Linked DNA regions of Tamandua tetradactyla. The protein of the gene in region 1 purifies or fractionates together with the protein of each later gene. This does not show direct contact. Links are inferred from orthologs where the notes say so. Each region holds a gene or a part of one and is shown on either strand. Other genes may lie near its edges.

Region 1 (7,973 bases):
GGACAAATATAGTATAATTTCTCTTTTATGAAAAATTTAGAAAATATTTACCAATTTCATAGAGACAAAAGGCAGAATAGTGGTTACCAGGGGTAGGAGGGAGGAGGCTATGAGGGAATTGGTTAATGAGTATGAGCATCTGTCTGGGATGATGAAAATATCCTGGAAATAGACAATGGTTAAAGTAACACAGCACTGTCAATGTACTTAATGTCACAGAAATTGTACACTTTAAAACGTGGTTAAAATGATTTCTATGTCACATATATTTTACCACAATTTTTAAAATGAACCAAAAGAAGGAATTCATGCATTTACTCATTCAGCAAATATTTACTCATTCAGCAAATATTTACTATTACATGCATCAAAGTCAAATCTTTCACCTTGGACTATATGGGTTCAACTTGCAGTGTGCTTTGCTCTAAGTCAACAGCCGCAAAATGCATGGTACATGACAATGGTTCAGTTTCACATCAATGTGAAACAACAACAACCTCTTACAGTGTAAGGATCATTAGCTATCCATAAATAAAATCTGTGATCACTCAGGTACTCTATATTTCAATACCAATTCTTCCATCATAAGCTAAAAGCTATTAAGGGCCAACTGCATACAGGACAAACCACTATCACAGCCTTATACATTTGTCTTTCTATCAAAAAACTGGAGCATCCCAGCAGCATACTGGCATTGCTGCAAGTAAGAAGGTAATATTTTTGGAGAACAAGCTTAATTTACTTATTCCAGAGTTCACAGCATATCAGTGGCTATTTCAAAGGCTTTCGCATGTTTCCCGAGGGAACATGCGTAGCAGAATTAACTACGGATCTTATAAACCGGGACTTGGGTTTGAATTCTAGCTCTACCTCTTATTAGCTGTAGGTGTGATCTTGGTAGTCACTTTTCCATTCTGATCCTTAATTTGCACATCTGCAAAATAAGGAAGTCAACTACCACCTCATAGCATTGTTGAGAAGAACAAATGAAATATAAACCACCTAGCGCAGTTAGTGGGCAATAACAACTCAATAATATTAGTTCCCTTTCTTGGTCTTAAATAATTTAAGAAATTATCTAATAATCAAGAAAAACTAACTCATAATCTAAGTTATTTTATCAATAGCGAGTCAGCAACCAACCTGTATTTGCTGCCTTCTCCGTACTCCAAATCCCTCCCTTCTCATCCCACTATTTCCAGTTTTTCTTTTTAACTTTAGTTACTATGTTTAGAAAAATGATTTAATTTTAGAAACCTGAAAAATTCTTCTGAGTAAATTGAGCAAATCCTTAATCTGCCCCATGGGGAATTCTAAGCAAAATAGTTATTTTTGACAAGAATTTTCTATGAGGGCTATTCAATTTATCCACTCCAATACCACCAATGCTGCACACAGTGATGGAAAGTAATCAAGAAATGTTCTGTATGGATTCTCCCAAAGGAAATATCCTCCTAAAATCCAAAACCCTCCCTGAGGTAGTAGAATCTTTCAGGGTAATCTGAACTCTCCAGGCTGTGACAAGTCCAGCTCCTCAAGCCACAGCAGCAGCAGTTCATAAAAGAAATACCTTGAACAAACCCCACCCCTCAAAATATCCCCAAAAGGCAGGGAAGTCAAAGGAGTATTTTCTCTTCAGTGGACAGATAAGACACCAGTTCAGAAGCACAATCCTTTCCCCAAGGTCATTCAAGTCAGTGAAGGTGCGACGGAGAATCTGCAAGCAGTCTCCGGCCTAGCGGAGATCACACTGCAGGTTCTTTCGGGGATGCCTATTCTCTCCCCCTCCCACCCTCAAGTATGAGCACAGGCCTCGGCATTTCCGAAACAAGCCACAACAAGCTCTGCAGTGTTAGGAAAGGGGCTGACGCGATGCCGAAACAGATGCTCCAAAGCAAGATGGTCTTTCTCGGCTTGCAGAGCCTCCTCCAAGGTTATTAACAGAAACCACAGGTACCTCGGGGAGCCCTAAACCGGACTCCGAACCCCCAACACAGCCGCTCCCGACGCCCGGTCCCCCTCACAGCCAGAGGCCCACCGGCCCCAAAAACCGCGCTTCATTCCTGCTCTTGAGGAAGTCATGGCTCTTCCCCGCCGGGGCCGAGATGGGGGGGGGGGGGAACGAGGGGGGCTTGGGGTACGCAGAGAGGCGGGCCGAGCGCGCTGCGGAAAGTTCACCGCGGCCGGCAGGCGGGGGGCGGCCCCCGGCCCGACTCGCCCGCGTCCCCTGCAGATTCCACCATTAATTAGTCCTAAGGACTGTCTACTGGCAACTTAAACAAAGCGAATGCCTCGAATTCCTTCCCGGCCCAGCGGTCTGGCTGCAAGACCAGCAGCGCCCGGGACACGGATCCGCGCGGCCGACAGCTGCGGCGGCGGCGGGACCCCTCCCCGACCCGCGCCGCCCCCGCAGCCCCGCAGCCCCGCAGCCCGGCGCCCGCAGTCCGCCGTCGGGCGCCCGCAGTCCGCCGTCCGCAGGCCGGTGCAGCACGCCGACCCGGCGCGCTCCCAAACCCCCACCTTCTCCTCCTCCTCCTCCTCCTCGGGAGCTCCCGGCTCTTCCTGTATGATCACTTCCTTCCTCCCCGGGTGCCCGCCTGGCCCCGCGCAGCCCCCTCCCCCGGCGCCCAGGCCCCCCGCCCCGCCCGGCCCGCGCCCGCCTGCTCGCCCAGCGCCGCGCCGCGTTCGCCCGCACTCCGCACGCCCTCCCACCGCACCCCAGACTCGACTCCAAAAAGTCTTCTCCGAGCCTCGTCCCCCGAAAATGTCTCCTCTGCTTTTCTGCCCACCCCCAACATCCCTCTCCAGATTCTCTCTCCCACCAAGAAGTCACCTCAGAACCGTCCCTCCCCCAACCGAAAGAAAAATCTCCTCAAATTCTCTTCCTCCAACTCCAAGAAAATCTCAAGGTCTCGCCCCAAAAGATCTCCCGTCAGGGTCTCTCCCCCGATCGCTTCCTCCAAAATCCGCTCAAACTCTTCACACACACACACACATACGCGCACCCGGAGGCAACCTGGATCCCCACCCCCCCCACCTCCCCTCTGGCTCGCCCGCCAGTTCGGCTGCCGGTGTCCCGACCCCTCCGGCTGCCCTCCTCTGCCCCGGCACACCCCAGCCGCCAGTGCCGAGCTCCTTCCCCGCTCCCGCCCTGGGGCCGCGAGCGGAGAGTAGTCCTGTCGCCTCCCGGCAGATCCCTCACCTTGGTGACTCTGGCCCGTGCTCCCGCCGGCCGAAAGCTCGGCTCTGGACTCCCGGCTGCCGGCGCCTCCTCCGACTCCAGGGGACTGACAATGAGGGGCGGGCCGACTGGTGGCGTCATCGTCGGGGCGGGGCCTGAGGCGAAGGGAGGGACCTTCCGGAAGGTCCCGCCCTCTCCGTCCTTTACCCCTTCCCAGGCCTTGAACACTGCCAAGTTATTTTGCCTGCCAAGCTAGGTACCCAAGACCTGTGCTAGGCGCGGTGGGAAGTGAGAGGGGTGCTCTCACAGGGGGTTGTTAGATTAAATGAGATAATTTATGTAAAAGGCGCTTAGTCCAGGACCCTTAATAAGTAATCACTCAACAAATCCCATTTGTGTTATTGGGCAAATGTGGAAAAGGAAATCAGGTTGGACTCAGAAGGTATGAATTCCAGTCTCCAGTTCTGCAGTTAATTCATTGTGTTCTCCTAGACAAGTCCCTTCCCATTCATATTCCCGGCTTTCAGCTTCTTTAAAACGGGAAGGAGTGATGACCACATGATCTTAAAAATCCCTCCAAGGTACCCAGAGCCCAGAGAAGTGGGCAGGGTTTTGAAGGGAGGCCAAGACCCACACCCAGAAGGGTGCAGGACACAGCCAGAGATACTCTCCCATACGGCTGCCCTCCCACGCTCTGGCAGGGAGCAGCATTCACAAGCCGGGACACAGATACACCAAAGGCTGCTCTCTCTCTGACTGCAGCAGCATAGCTGGCCTCTTGAGACATCTCTTGTGTAAGCTACTTTTTGCCTATGGCATAAAGGCCAAAGTCCTGGCCTGGCCTGATCACTTCCTACCTTTCCAGAAAGACACACACAAACACACACACACACACACACACACACTGTAAAGTTTATCCAGACTTCCCCCTGGCACACCCACTGCTTTCCCACATCTGCCCCTTTGCTCATGCTCTTCCTTTGCTGTCTCATCTCAATGTGCCACCCCTCCTAGTTTCCCTTCCATTGTGTTTAACTCTCATGAGGCATGGTCACATTCTAACGTGTATCGAACTGACCAACTTGTTTCTTAGCACTTCCTCCAGGTCAGAACCCACAGGGTTTTATGGAGCTCAGGTTCTGTTGCCAAACAAACCTCTGATCAAATACCCACATTCTGGCCCCTTCTAGGTCTCTCTGAGCTTCAGTCTCCTCATCCATAAATAGGATATAATAATATGGTCATTTTAGGGTTTGTTTTTAATTTACATAATCTACTGTGTGGAAAGCAGCAAGCACAGTGTCCCACAAATGATGTGGTTGTCATATTATTATTATCATCATTATCAATATTATTTCTAGCGCCTAGCACCACACAACACCCCCACGATAATCCACCCAATCATTCTACAAAGGAAGACTTTGGGGTCCTGAGAGAGAAAAAAGGCTAGTAGCTCCACAGAACATTGCCATTCAAAGGGGAACTAGCAGTCAAAATTTCAGAACCTGTGTGGATTCAGCACAATCATGACCAGTCTGATACCCCGGGCTGTCTCTGACCCTAGGGCCCCGTCCCCCACTTTCAAGTTGATGACAGCTGCAGAGCTTTCTCTGCAAGTGCTTTGCAGCTGAGCTGACATGCTTCTCCCTTGGGCCTTTCTCCTTTCGTTTTCCTTACAGAGAGATGGTTCTGTGCTAAACTGCCCTTGGCATCTCTGCAGTCCTCGAGGAGAGCTGCAGCAAGGCCTTAGGAGTGAGAGTATTGGCCAGTGGGAAGAGAGGAAGAGCTTTGGGGTTCTGATTAATTTCTTACACTGCAGACAGGCAAATGGCTATCCTAAAATGCTTGGGCTGATGGTCAAGGGTCCCTAACAATGTGTGGCGTATTTTTAGAATAGGAGATTTTAAAATGCTACTTCCCATGAAAAGGAGGCATGGCCACAGAATTTCTGCAGGCCTTTATTGAATTCATCCTATGTGCTGATACAAATTCCAAGCACTGCAAATCCTTAGAAGGGAGAACCCAATGTATACAAGGGAGGTTCTGAAGACAGAATTTTTTCACCAGGAACCCGTGGCCCCCTCAACTTTCTATTCATCCATTCCCAACACAGACTTTGACACATCACAGCTGAGGATTCAAATTCCAGCTCCACCCTTCCCCAGCTGTTTGACCTTGGGCTTTTAAATTCTTCACCTCAGTTTCTCATCTGCAAAATGGGAATATAATAGTACCTACTTCAGAGAGTGGTAGTAAAGATTCAATGAAATAAATACATGAAAGAGCTTAGCTCAGAGCCTGGCACCTAGTTCATGCGAGGATGTTGTGGCTACAGTTAAAGGATGTGTAGGCCTCTGGGCTGGAAGTAGGGCTAAATAACAGTTCCCACTCTCGAGAAGCTTAGTCAAAAAAAAAAGCATAGGGTATTTTGCAGGAATAGGCAAGAAAACAGGTCCCCTGAATATTGCTAAGTGAAAGAAGTAAAAGTAAGTTGCAGAATTGCAGGTGTGATAGGATCCCATGTTTACAGCTTAGAATATGCAGAGAAAAATATGGAGAATATAAAAAATGAAAAACGGGACTTTCAATCATTTTTCTGTCTGCGTGTGTGTACACGCACATGTGTAGCAGGAACTTTCAAAAAAGATCTTACGTTTCATTTTATTTTTCTGTTGTCTTTTTATTTATTTTTCTGAATTGATGCAAATAATCTAAGAAATGATCGTGATGATGAATATGCAAAAAAAAGAACGTGTATTTGTTTGTTGTTTACAATAAAATATTAGAAAAAAAGATCTTACTAAATGCCGAAGAGAGGAAAGGAAATAGATACAACTACAAGGCACATCAGCAGTGGGCATCTGAGCCTACTGTGCCTGATGCCATAGAATGTTCTGCAGATCCCATTCCATTTCTTAAGGGGTTCCAGGGAAAGCTCCTGTCCAGCCAGTTCTCATCTTCTCCTCCAACCTGAGTCCCTGGTTGCACTTGAAACTTTCAACGCTCTAAGCCAAAAGCAAGACTGCTAAAAGAACGTTCAGGCAGGGCCAGTAGGGGAGATATTAAAGCAGGAAAATTTTTTTGCCCTCTGTCCTATGCCCTTCCTCCACTTCCCAAAGAATAGCAATAAGTCAGCATCTTATGCCTACTGTGCTAAAACTCGCACTTTCGTTTTTCCTCATTATATCTTTCTGCAATTAAATTTTTTTACAAGGTGCACATATTACTTTGTCATCAGAAAAAAGGCAGTAAAGTCATATGTCAAAAAGAAAGCTAACCAAGCTGGAGTTGATTCATTTCTGTTACTTTGTAAACAATAAACTATAACACAATATGACTGAGGCCAGTGCCAAGTCTCAAGGAAGTCATGGCATGATTTTGAGTCCTCTCACATTTTAGGGCACCATCAATACATGAATTTCATCCATTCATTCCTTCAACAAGCATTTATGAATCCTTACTAGAAATCAAGCATGATGCTGTGTACTTAACAAATAATATTTTATACAGGTTATAGGAAGTCATTATTCCTATTTTGCAGATTAGGAAACCAAGACTCTGCACTCAAGTAGCCATCATTAGCTGGGTGGACTTGGACAAGCCACTAAATGACTCGCAGCAGCAGTTCCTCTCTCCGGACCCCACTCCTGCCTGGTAAGGGTATACCAGGATATTTTACACAAGTTAAGTACTTTCTTAGCTATAAGACATAATACAAGGGGAGGGCATCATATCAGTTCTTTGAATCATTGGCTCACTTGGTGCATTGCCTGTTACTGTTTTTCCCCATGAGAGCACTTAGGACATCTTCCCTGTGGGAATTCATCTTATTCCCCCCATTAGCTTGGGATCGCCTCCTTATTCATCTCCGATCCCCTTCTGCCCCTAGTGCAGTGCCTGGCAGACATCCCTCCATTCTTTCCCTCTTTACTTCATGAAAAGTGACTCACTGCCTAACATGGAACACAATTAATTACTTAATAACAATTACATTAAGTGCTACAAAAGAGTAGCCCAGATACTTTGAGGGCTTGGTGGAATCTAATCAAATCCAGGAGGCAGAGAAGGCTTCCTAGAGGAGGTGGCCTTGAGGCTTAGAGAAGTTAAGGAACCCTTCAAGGTCACTCCTCTGGTAAGCGGAAAAACTGGGATTTTAACCCAGGAATGCCTGCCTCCAAAACTCTATCTAATGGAGCAAACTGCCTTTTATCTCCTCTACCTTATTCTTTCTTGGCTCTAGTTAGTGAGACAGAAGCAAGGTCTGTCCAATACTGGATACTCTAAAGCAGTGTTTTTCCCAGCTTTGGGGGACTCATGAATCCCTTTGAGAATCTGATGTAATCTGCAAAACCTCTCCTTAGAATTACACATTTATAGATAGAAGCCAAAAATCTCACTGCCTATTTCAGAGGGTTCAGAGGCATCCTGAGACCTGGGTTTAGAATTCATGCAAGGATCACAGGACCTGACAGTGGTTCTCAGAATCTCAGAAAGAGACACCAGGGCTTCAAGGAAACCTCAAATCCCCCAAACAGACCCTAGAAACCTATACAAAGATTCTCAAGATCCAGTAGAAAAATTCTGGGTGTAGAGGCCCCAAGTCCCTATACAGTAACAGCAGGGCCTTGTAGAATATTCTCAAGACTATGTAGGAATCACAAACCTTCATAAAACCCAAGTGCCAGTAGAAGACTTGTAGAGAAATTCGGGGGCCTTGTTAAGCAGTGGTTCTTAACACTTTTTGGGTCACTGATACCTTTTGGGATCAAGAAAAATGGACATACATTACACA
Region 2 (7,253 bases), on another chromosome or scaffold:
GGGGACAAAAGGCACCCATCTCAGAGATGAGTCAGTGCTGAACCCATAAAGATGAGTCAGAACTTATCACGTGGAGAAGGGAAACCACCTGGGAAGCAAAGCAAATAGCATAGGCCAAGGGTCAGCATAGGAGAAGGGTCAGAGCAACTTCCACCAAATGCAAGGGGTTGACAAACTTTTTCTTTAACGGGCCACGGAGGAAATGTTCTCAGCTTGGCAGGCCAGACTGTCTCTGTCATGACTGTACCTTTCTGTAATGCAAAAAGCAGCTGACATGTAGTCCAGTGAGCGTGACTCTGTTCTGACACAATGTTAATTATTAACTACAACTGTGAACCCTGAGGCATGAACAGGTCATCGTTTTCACATGTCATGGAACTTAATTCTTCTAACTATTTTTTTCCCAGCCATCTAAAAAATGTACAACCACGGACTGTACAAAATAAGTGTCAGGGAGGGGAAGAAAAGGAAAAAAACAAAACAAAACCCAATGTCAAGTTGGATTTGTCAACCCCTGAGTAACTAGATCAATAAACTGAAGGAAAAGGCGCACTTGAACTTGGATTAAAAAAAAAAAATCAGAAAAGATACAGATGATGAAAATACAACTCTGTGATTACATTGTCTTTAACCTTATGCTTCAGGTACCTCACAGAATGTTCCAGAACATTACATACAGCTGTGCTGTCCAAATTGGCAGCCACTAGCCATATGCCCTCAAAATGTGGCTGGGCTGAACTGAGCTGTATAAGTGAATGCAAACAATACACTAGCTGTCAAAGGCTTCAGACCTAAATAAATACATAAATAAAAGCAAAATATTGAGGCATTTTAAAATACAGATTACGTGTCAAAATGATAATCATTAGGATCTATAAAGTTTAATAGCCTATTATTAAAATTCATTTCTCCTGTATCTTTTTTATTTTTTAATGCTCCTAGAAAATTTAAATACTTTAGATATGCGACTCATGTTATATTTTTATTTGGGCAGCGCTAGATCTTTGCCTGCTTTCTTCTAACTGCATAATTGCCTAATATTCCTGTCAATGGATGTCACAGGTTTTGGGCAGCCAGGAAAGTAGTTTTCCACCCCTTGCTTATCTGCCATTACTATAGTAACTGACCCTGTTCTTAAATAGCCGGGTCTATACATGTGTTTCCACTGAATTAATTCCTACAAGTGGAACTGGTGAGTCAAAAGGAAAGCACCATTTAAATCTTGTTGCCTTTTGCCAAACTTTCCTCCAGTGGGAGACTCTAAGAGGCGTTCAACAATGAAGGATATGATTTCTCCAGGGGGTGGAGGTGGGGGGGGTGCTTACTCTACCATTCTAAGGGAAGAATTTCTAAAGGAAGGAATTAAGGATTCCAAATGAGTCTGGAAACTCTGTCTAGGCTGGGCACAACACATGGTATGCTTATTTACATTCCCATTAGGTGACATCATGGGGCTGCCAAGGCGGCTCCAGGAAGGCTGGCCAGCAGCAAACTCACCAAATAAGGTTTGAAGGGCCACAAATCAGGGTGGGCCTAGAAAGTGACTGGCTACCCTGCAGTGTGTGTTTAGGGGGTGGGGAGGGGGGGGGGGTCCTCAAAGGGACCTTGAAAACCCAGCCAGGCAGGAAATCAGCTGCCTCACTGGAATGGGAAACCTCAGCTTTTCCCACAAGAATGTAAAACAATTGGCAGGGACACGGGCCAGACAAGAGGCCTTCCTTTTAAATGTGCAGAAGCTCGAAGAAATTCTCCAACGGCTCATCTCATACAAAAGAGAGTTAAAAGAGGGGGACTGGCCTCTAATAAAATTACTAGCACCTATTGTTCTCATCTCCTGTGCCAGGCACCATATTTATTCGAATGATTCCATTTTGCCACCAAGGAAATGCAGAGGGAATGTCAGAGCGAAAATTCCAGCCAGGGCTGGCTAACACTGAAGACCAAACCCATTCTACCAACACATGCCGCTGTCTCATTTCTGCTTGAAGAGGAAGTTCCCATTCAGAAAAATCCTGCAGCCCCCCTTTCCTCCCAGCAAAGCCCAGTCAGAGGAGATGGCTCACCTGCCCAGTTCCTCCCCCATCTCATAGTATTCCTCCACATCTTCCTGCCTGAACGTTGACATGGTAGCCAATCTGCCTTCCAGAAACTTCTGCTCCAGTGGAAGTCCAGTCATTCACTGAAGTCTGGGAACAGGGCCTCAGGGAGACCGTTCACCATGAGCCTGAAGGAAACAAGGAAGGCAGGAGCTCAGCCACCAGGTATTTCTCCTATAAAAGCAGAATGACCCGTTCACTGAAAGTAAGTTTCATATCACTTCCCCAAAAGCATTTAGCCGGCTGGACACTTTCATGTGTCCTCTTGTGTGGAGGCCGGAAGCACCCAGAAAGATTGGCGTTACCTCACTGTAACACCTTCACCCCATCCCCAGGCCTCCCACCAAGCACAGAGGACCCCACAGCTGCCCCACACAGAGCCCCAAGCTTTCTCTGCCTCCCCCTCCTTGACTTCTCCGGACCTGCTCTTCCAGAGTCCTCAACACATTCCAGCAAGTTCCCCCACACCCCAGGGGCTGCCAAACTTCCCAAGGTAGTTCTAAACCAACAGACCCCCATCTGCTTCGTCATCAGCTGACCCCATGCACCTGGACGGGTCTCTGAAGTCCCTCCTCGGCGGTCGCCATGCCCCCGCCTCTTCCGCTCCCCAAACCTGAATTCCCCAGGAGCTGGGACACCGCCTTCCAGATTCCTGCGAGCCCCCTCGGCCCTCTTGCGTCCTCCACTGTCCTAGGGAGACTAACCTCTTCCTCGTCCTCCCTCCTAAACGTCCCCCAATTCGGTCTCCCCCAGACCCAAACGAGCCCCCTTGGGGCTCCTCCACGCCACCCCCACGCCCGCGAAAAGGCTGCTGTTGAGTCTCCTCCACTGTCCTTCACCCCAAAGAGGCCCTTCGTGGACCCGAGTCTCCCCAACCCCTGACCTTCCTCCCCGAGGCCACCACGCCCCTCGCGGGCCCCGGACCGGCTCCTTCTCCGGCCCGAAACCCCCAGGGAGTCTCCAACGCGCCCTCCACAACCTCCCACCGTCCCCGTGTCCTCCAAGAGCGCTCGGCACGGCCGCGCCCCCACCTCGAGAACCCTCCCCAAGAGTCTCTGCCGCCCCCACCCAGCCTTCCGGCCTCGACACGATCCCGCTCCGCACCCTCCGCGGCCCTCCGCGGCCCTGAACCCCAGGCCGGTCCTGCCGCCGCCGCGCCCACCGCCACCGCCTTAGTCCCCCGCCGTCGAGACTGCCGCGACGTGCCGACCTGCGTGACGTCACCGCGTCCACTAGTGCCCGCCTTCCGAGATGCGAATCCCACCGCCCATTGGTCGGCGCGCCGCGCTGTCATCTCGGTGCCCCGCCCTCCACCATCTGATGTCCTGCCCCCCTCCCGAATGCGGCCTCGCCATTGGCCGACGGGCTGACCTGCCCACAATTGATTGGCTGAAAGGAACGTTGGTCAAGCTGACGGAAGGAAGGCCAACTTCCGAGCCCGGGACCTCTCCTCCTCTGACCCGGTCCTGAAGCGTGGGGGCCGGATGCTAGAGTTCAGCATCCCACTTCCTTCTTTTCTTGAGTAACTTATGACTCCTATTGGTCTCAAGATAAATAACAATAGCTAGCATTTCCTGAGCATTAGAAGGTACCAGAACCATAACCCTAGGAGGTTAATATTTTCCCCGATCTACTAACGAGGGAACAGACCCAGGGAGGTTAACCAGCCCAAAGTCACGCAACCAGTAAATGGCATAGCCGAGATTCATCCCCAGAGAGCCAAAGCTGATGCCGACCCACGTCCGAGGCCACTGGGCATAAGACCCTGCGCCCTTTGGTCTCTGCCGACAGCCTTAGCCTCATCCCCTACCAATCTCCCCTTTTTTCAATCCACTCCAACCCCACTTTCCTTCCTTCTGACTTGGAACATATAGTTGGCTCCTCCACGTCTCTGCACGAGATGTTTCTTCTGGCTGGAATTCGCTTTCTTCCGCACTTCTTCACTTTAAGTGATGCAATTCTTTTGACAACACGTGTTGCAAATACAGTAGTCCAGCATTTTAAGGTTTTAATGAGGTATCATTGACACAACATAATCTTATCTGTTTGAACTATGCATTTGGATTAGTGTTTTGTTTTTATAACCATCACATCTATTCCCACAACTTTTTCATCATCCCAAATAAAACCTCTGCACCATTAACAATAACTCATTTCCCCCTCCCTCCAGCTCCTGGCAACCAATAATCACATCCTACCTCTGTGAATTTGCCTATTTCCCCTATCTCATATAAAAGGAATCATACAATATCTGACTTTCTGAGTTTGGTTTACTTAGCTCAGCGTATTTTAAGAGTTCACCCATTTTGTTGGCTCTATCCGAACTTCAGTCCTTTTCACGGCTAAATACTATTCCATTGCATGGATATGCCACATCTTGTTTATCCATTCATCCACTGATATTTTAGATGTTCCCACTTTTTGGCTGTTATGATTAATGTTGCTATGAACCTTTGTGAACTAGTATGTTTAAGTCACTTTTCAATTATTTTGGGTCTATACCTTGGAGTGAAACTGCCAGGTAATTCTCTTAATTTTTTGAAAAATAGTATCTTTTCCAGTGGCTGCTTAGCTTTACATTACTACCCTCAGCCATGCATGAGTCTCCACATTCTTGCCAACACTTGCTATTCTTACTTTTTCTCCCCTCCCATTAACAGCCATCTACTAAGTGTGAAGTCCTATCTCACAGCAGGCTTGATTTGCATTTCCCTGATGTTGAGCACCCATTTAGGTGTTCATTATCCATTTGCCTATTTTTGGAGAAGTGTCTATTCAGATCCCTTGCCCTTATCAGATGTGATTGTTTCCCACTCTGCATGTTATCTTTTTACTTTCTTGATGTCCTTCAATGAATAAAGGATTTTTTAGTTTTTTTATGAATCCAGTTCAGCTATTTATTTTGGTATATTTATTTGTACATTTGATGGGAATCCCATGGGTCTTAGGCTGTTATTTTCCTTTTTTTTCAGCTACTAATTGGGTAAACTCAATAAACCCATTTCCAAGTTCACTGATTCTTCTGCCTGCTCAAATCTACTGAACCCTTCCCACTGAATTTCCATCTCAATTATAGGCTTGCATGCCAGAATTTCTATTTTATTAGATTTTATTATTTCCAAGTCTTTATCAATATGTTTGTTGACACCATTCTCCTGGTAGTTTAGTCCTAAGCATACTTTGCATTGTTTGTTTTTGAGCACAGGACATTTTGAATATTGTAATGTGGCAACTGGTTTACTTTTCTAAGCTCTCGTCAAGTCTGTATCCCTTGTTGCGTGTGGTCCCTAAAGTCTGTTCCATTAGCTTATAGAAGCTTAGTATTTTTTAAAACACCAAGCAAAGAAAAACATTCTCCCAGTCTTTATACATTGGCTGTATTGGGGCACCCCTTTCACGTTTAATCAGGCCATTTACACTACCTTAGCTTTCACCTCCTGCTCTCAAGGAGCCCGCACATCAGCCAGAGATTAAAGCTTGGGTCTTCCCAGGCCTTTGCTGAGCCAAGCACCCAGTCCTAGGCACACGTGTGACTGTCCCAATTCTCCAATGTACACAGGAGTTCCCAGCTCTAACTTACCCATTTCTCAATGTCTTCCTCCACAGAATTCTCCACCTATTGCTCTCCCTTGCCCCACGCCACTGCAGCTAATTCCATCACCTCTAAATGCTTTTAGCAAACGGTAACTGGGAATTACCACCGCTCTGGAAACACCCTAGGAGCTGTGAAACAAATACAAGCCCTTGTACTGGCCCTCAAGAGTGCCACGAGACAGTTCTTTTGAGGTCTGTACCTCAAAAGAAATCGCCAGAGCAAAAGAAATTGCTCCGGAAATAGCCAGGTGCACAAGGAGCGTGTGCTGCTGTCTTCACAGCCACCGCTGGTCTGGCACAACACAGCCACTTTAAGTTTTCCCCTGGCTGTTTTGATTCCAAAGTTCTGCAAAAACTGATCCTGACAGGTATTTACCAGCTTGTTATTAGTTTTTTTTTTTTTCTGGGGGGTTGGGGGGTAAGAGAGCTGGAGTTCTCTATTCTGCCATTTTCAGTTCCCTTTGTACGTTTTTTTTTTTTTTTTTTTTTTTTTAGGATGGGCAGGCACCAGGAATTGAACTCGAGTCTCTGGCATAGCAGGCAAGAAATCTGCCACTGAGCCGCCATCGTACCACCCCCTCTGTACTATTTTTAAAGGGGTATTTTACACGTTTTTTAAAAAGCATTAAAATAGTGGCTAAGTATATACAAATATTTGATACGAACAGAGCAGTGACAGCTGTCTAAATGTTGCTCTTGGAGTCCATTCTCCTTGTTAAAAAGACATAGCAAATTGACAATATTCAAGACTTTTCTGCCATTTCCTTCCAAGTCTTTGGCAGGACTGTGGTGGGAGGACTTCACAAGTCCACAAACCACATGAAAACCCTTGTGCACCTGCATACTAAGAACCAAGTACAACCCCTTCACTTTGCCCGACCCTTCTAGGTCATCCCGCACACTAGCTGGGGCTCAGTGCGGATTCATGATGCACCAAAGAGGCCAGGATGAAGAGCCTGAATAGTCACCAGCGGTCCTTCAGCACTGGAGAACCCTTGCCCATTGCCGGAGGTCAGCTGGCTATCCCAGCTAAGTTTTGAGAACAAAGGAGGGGCACCAGATTGGCAAATCAAGTAGATCTTGGTCAGTACTGGAAACAGACTCCTCCAGGAGAATCTCCTGGCATTTTATATGGGGGCTTTCTTTTAGTGACGCCTCTTCCAAAGCTAGTTCACAGACGCACAAATATATCACTATAATATATAATACTGCTTTGTAAGTTCAATTTCTACAAAATATTTTACTAATTACTATAAAAAATGATCAAACTTCTTGCCCCTCTGGCTGCCAGGAAGCTCACTGCCCATTACAAACCTAACTCAGCAACTAAAACCCAAATACACACACACTTCAAGGACTCATGTTCCCTTCTGCTCCAGCTACTTACATTTCTATAAATGTCTTTTGATACGTTAAGAAACAAATCTTCAGACAACTTTCCTGCAGTGGGCAAATGGGCAGTACAGGGCTATAGACTGGTCACCCCCTCCCAACTGGATGCCCCACTTCTGTGCTTCAGAACCCACTTGCCTCCTGGAGGACAGATCTGAAGGGATAAACTAT

Evidence for each region. Proteins that work in one complex are often made in the same cells at the same time.
Region 2: the proteins of LUZP1 (region 1) and DAPK3 purify together in Homo sapiens (affinity purification with mass spectrometry; 3 studies listed by BioGRID and IntAct, with this or other methods). This does not show direct contact. The link is inferred for Tamandua tetradactyla from reciprocal best matches to the Homo sapiens genes LUZP1 and DAPK3.

What each region holds. Positions count from the first base shown.
Region 1 is NC_135328.1:203,115,567-203,123,539, reverse strand, and holds the start of LUZP1 (leucine zipper protein 1), read right to left. Parts: upstream 3,299-7,973; 5' UTR 3,203-3,298; intron 2,564-3,202; exon of another isoform or gene 2,521-2,563; intron 1-2,520.
Region 2 is NC_135337.1:78,076,915-78,084,167, reverse strand, and holds the start of DAPK3 (death-associated protein kinase 3), read right to left. Parts: upstream 3,305-7,253; 5' UTR 3,259-3,304; exon of another isoform or gene 3,201-3,258; intron 2,225-3,200; 5' UTR 2,177-2,224; coding exon 2,064-2,176; exon of another isoform or gene 1-2,063. UniProt on the Homo sapiens protein: Serine/threonine kinase which is involved in the regulation of apoptosis, autophagy, transcription, translation and actin cytoskeleton reorganization. Involved in the regulation of smooth muscle contraction.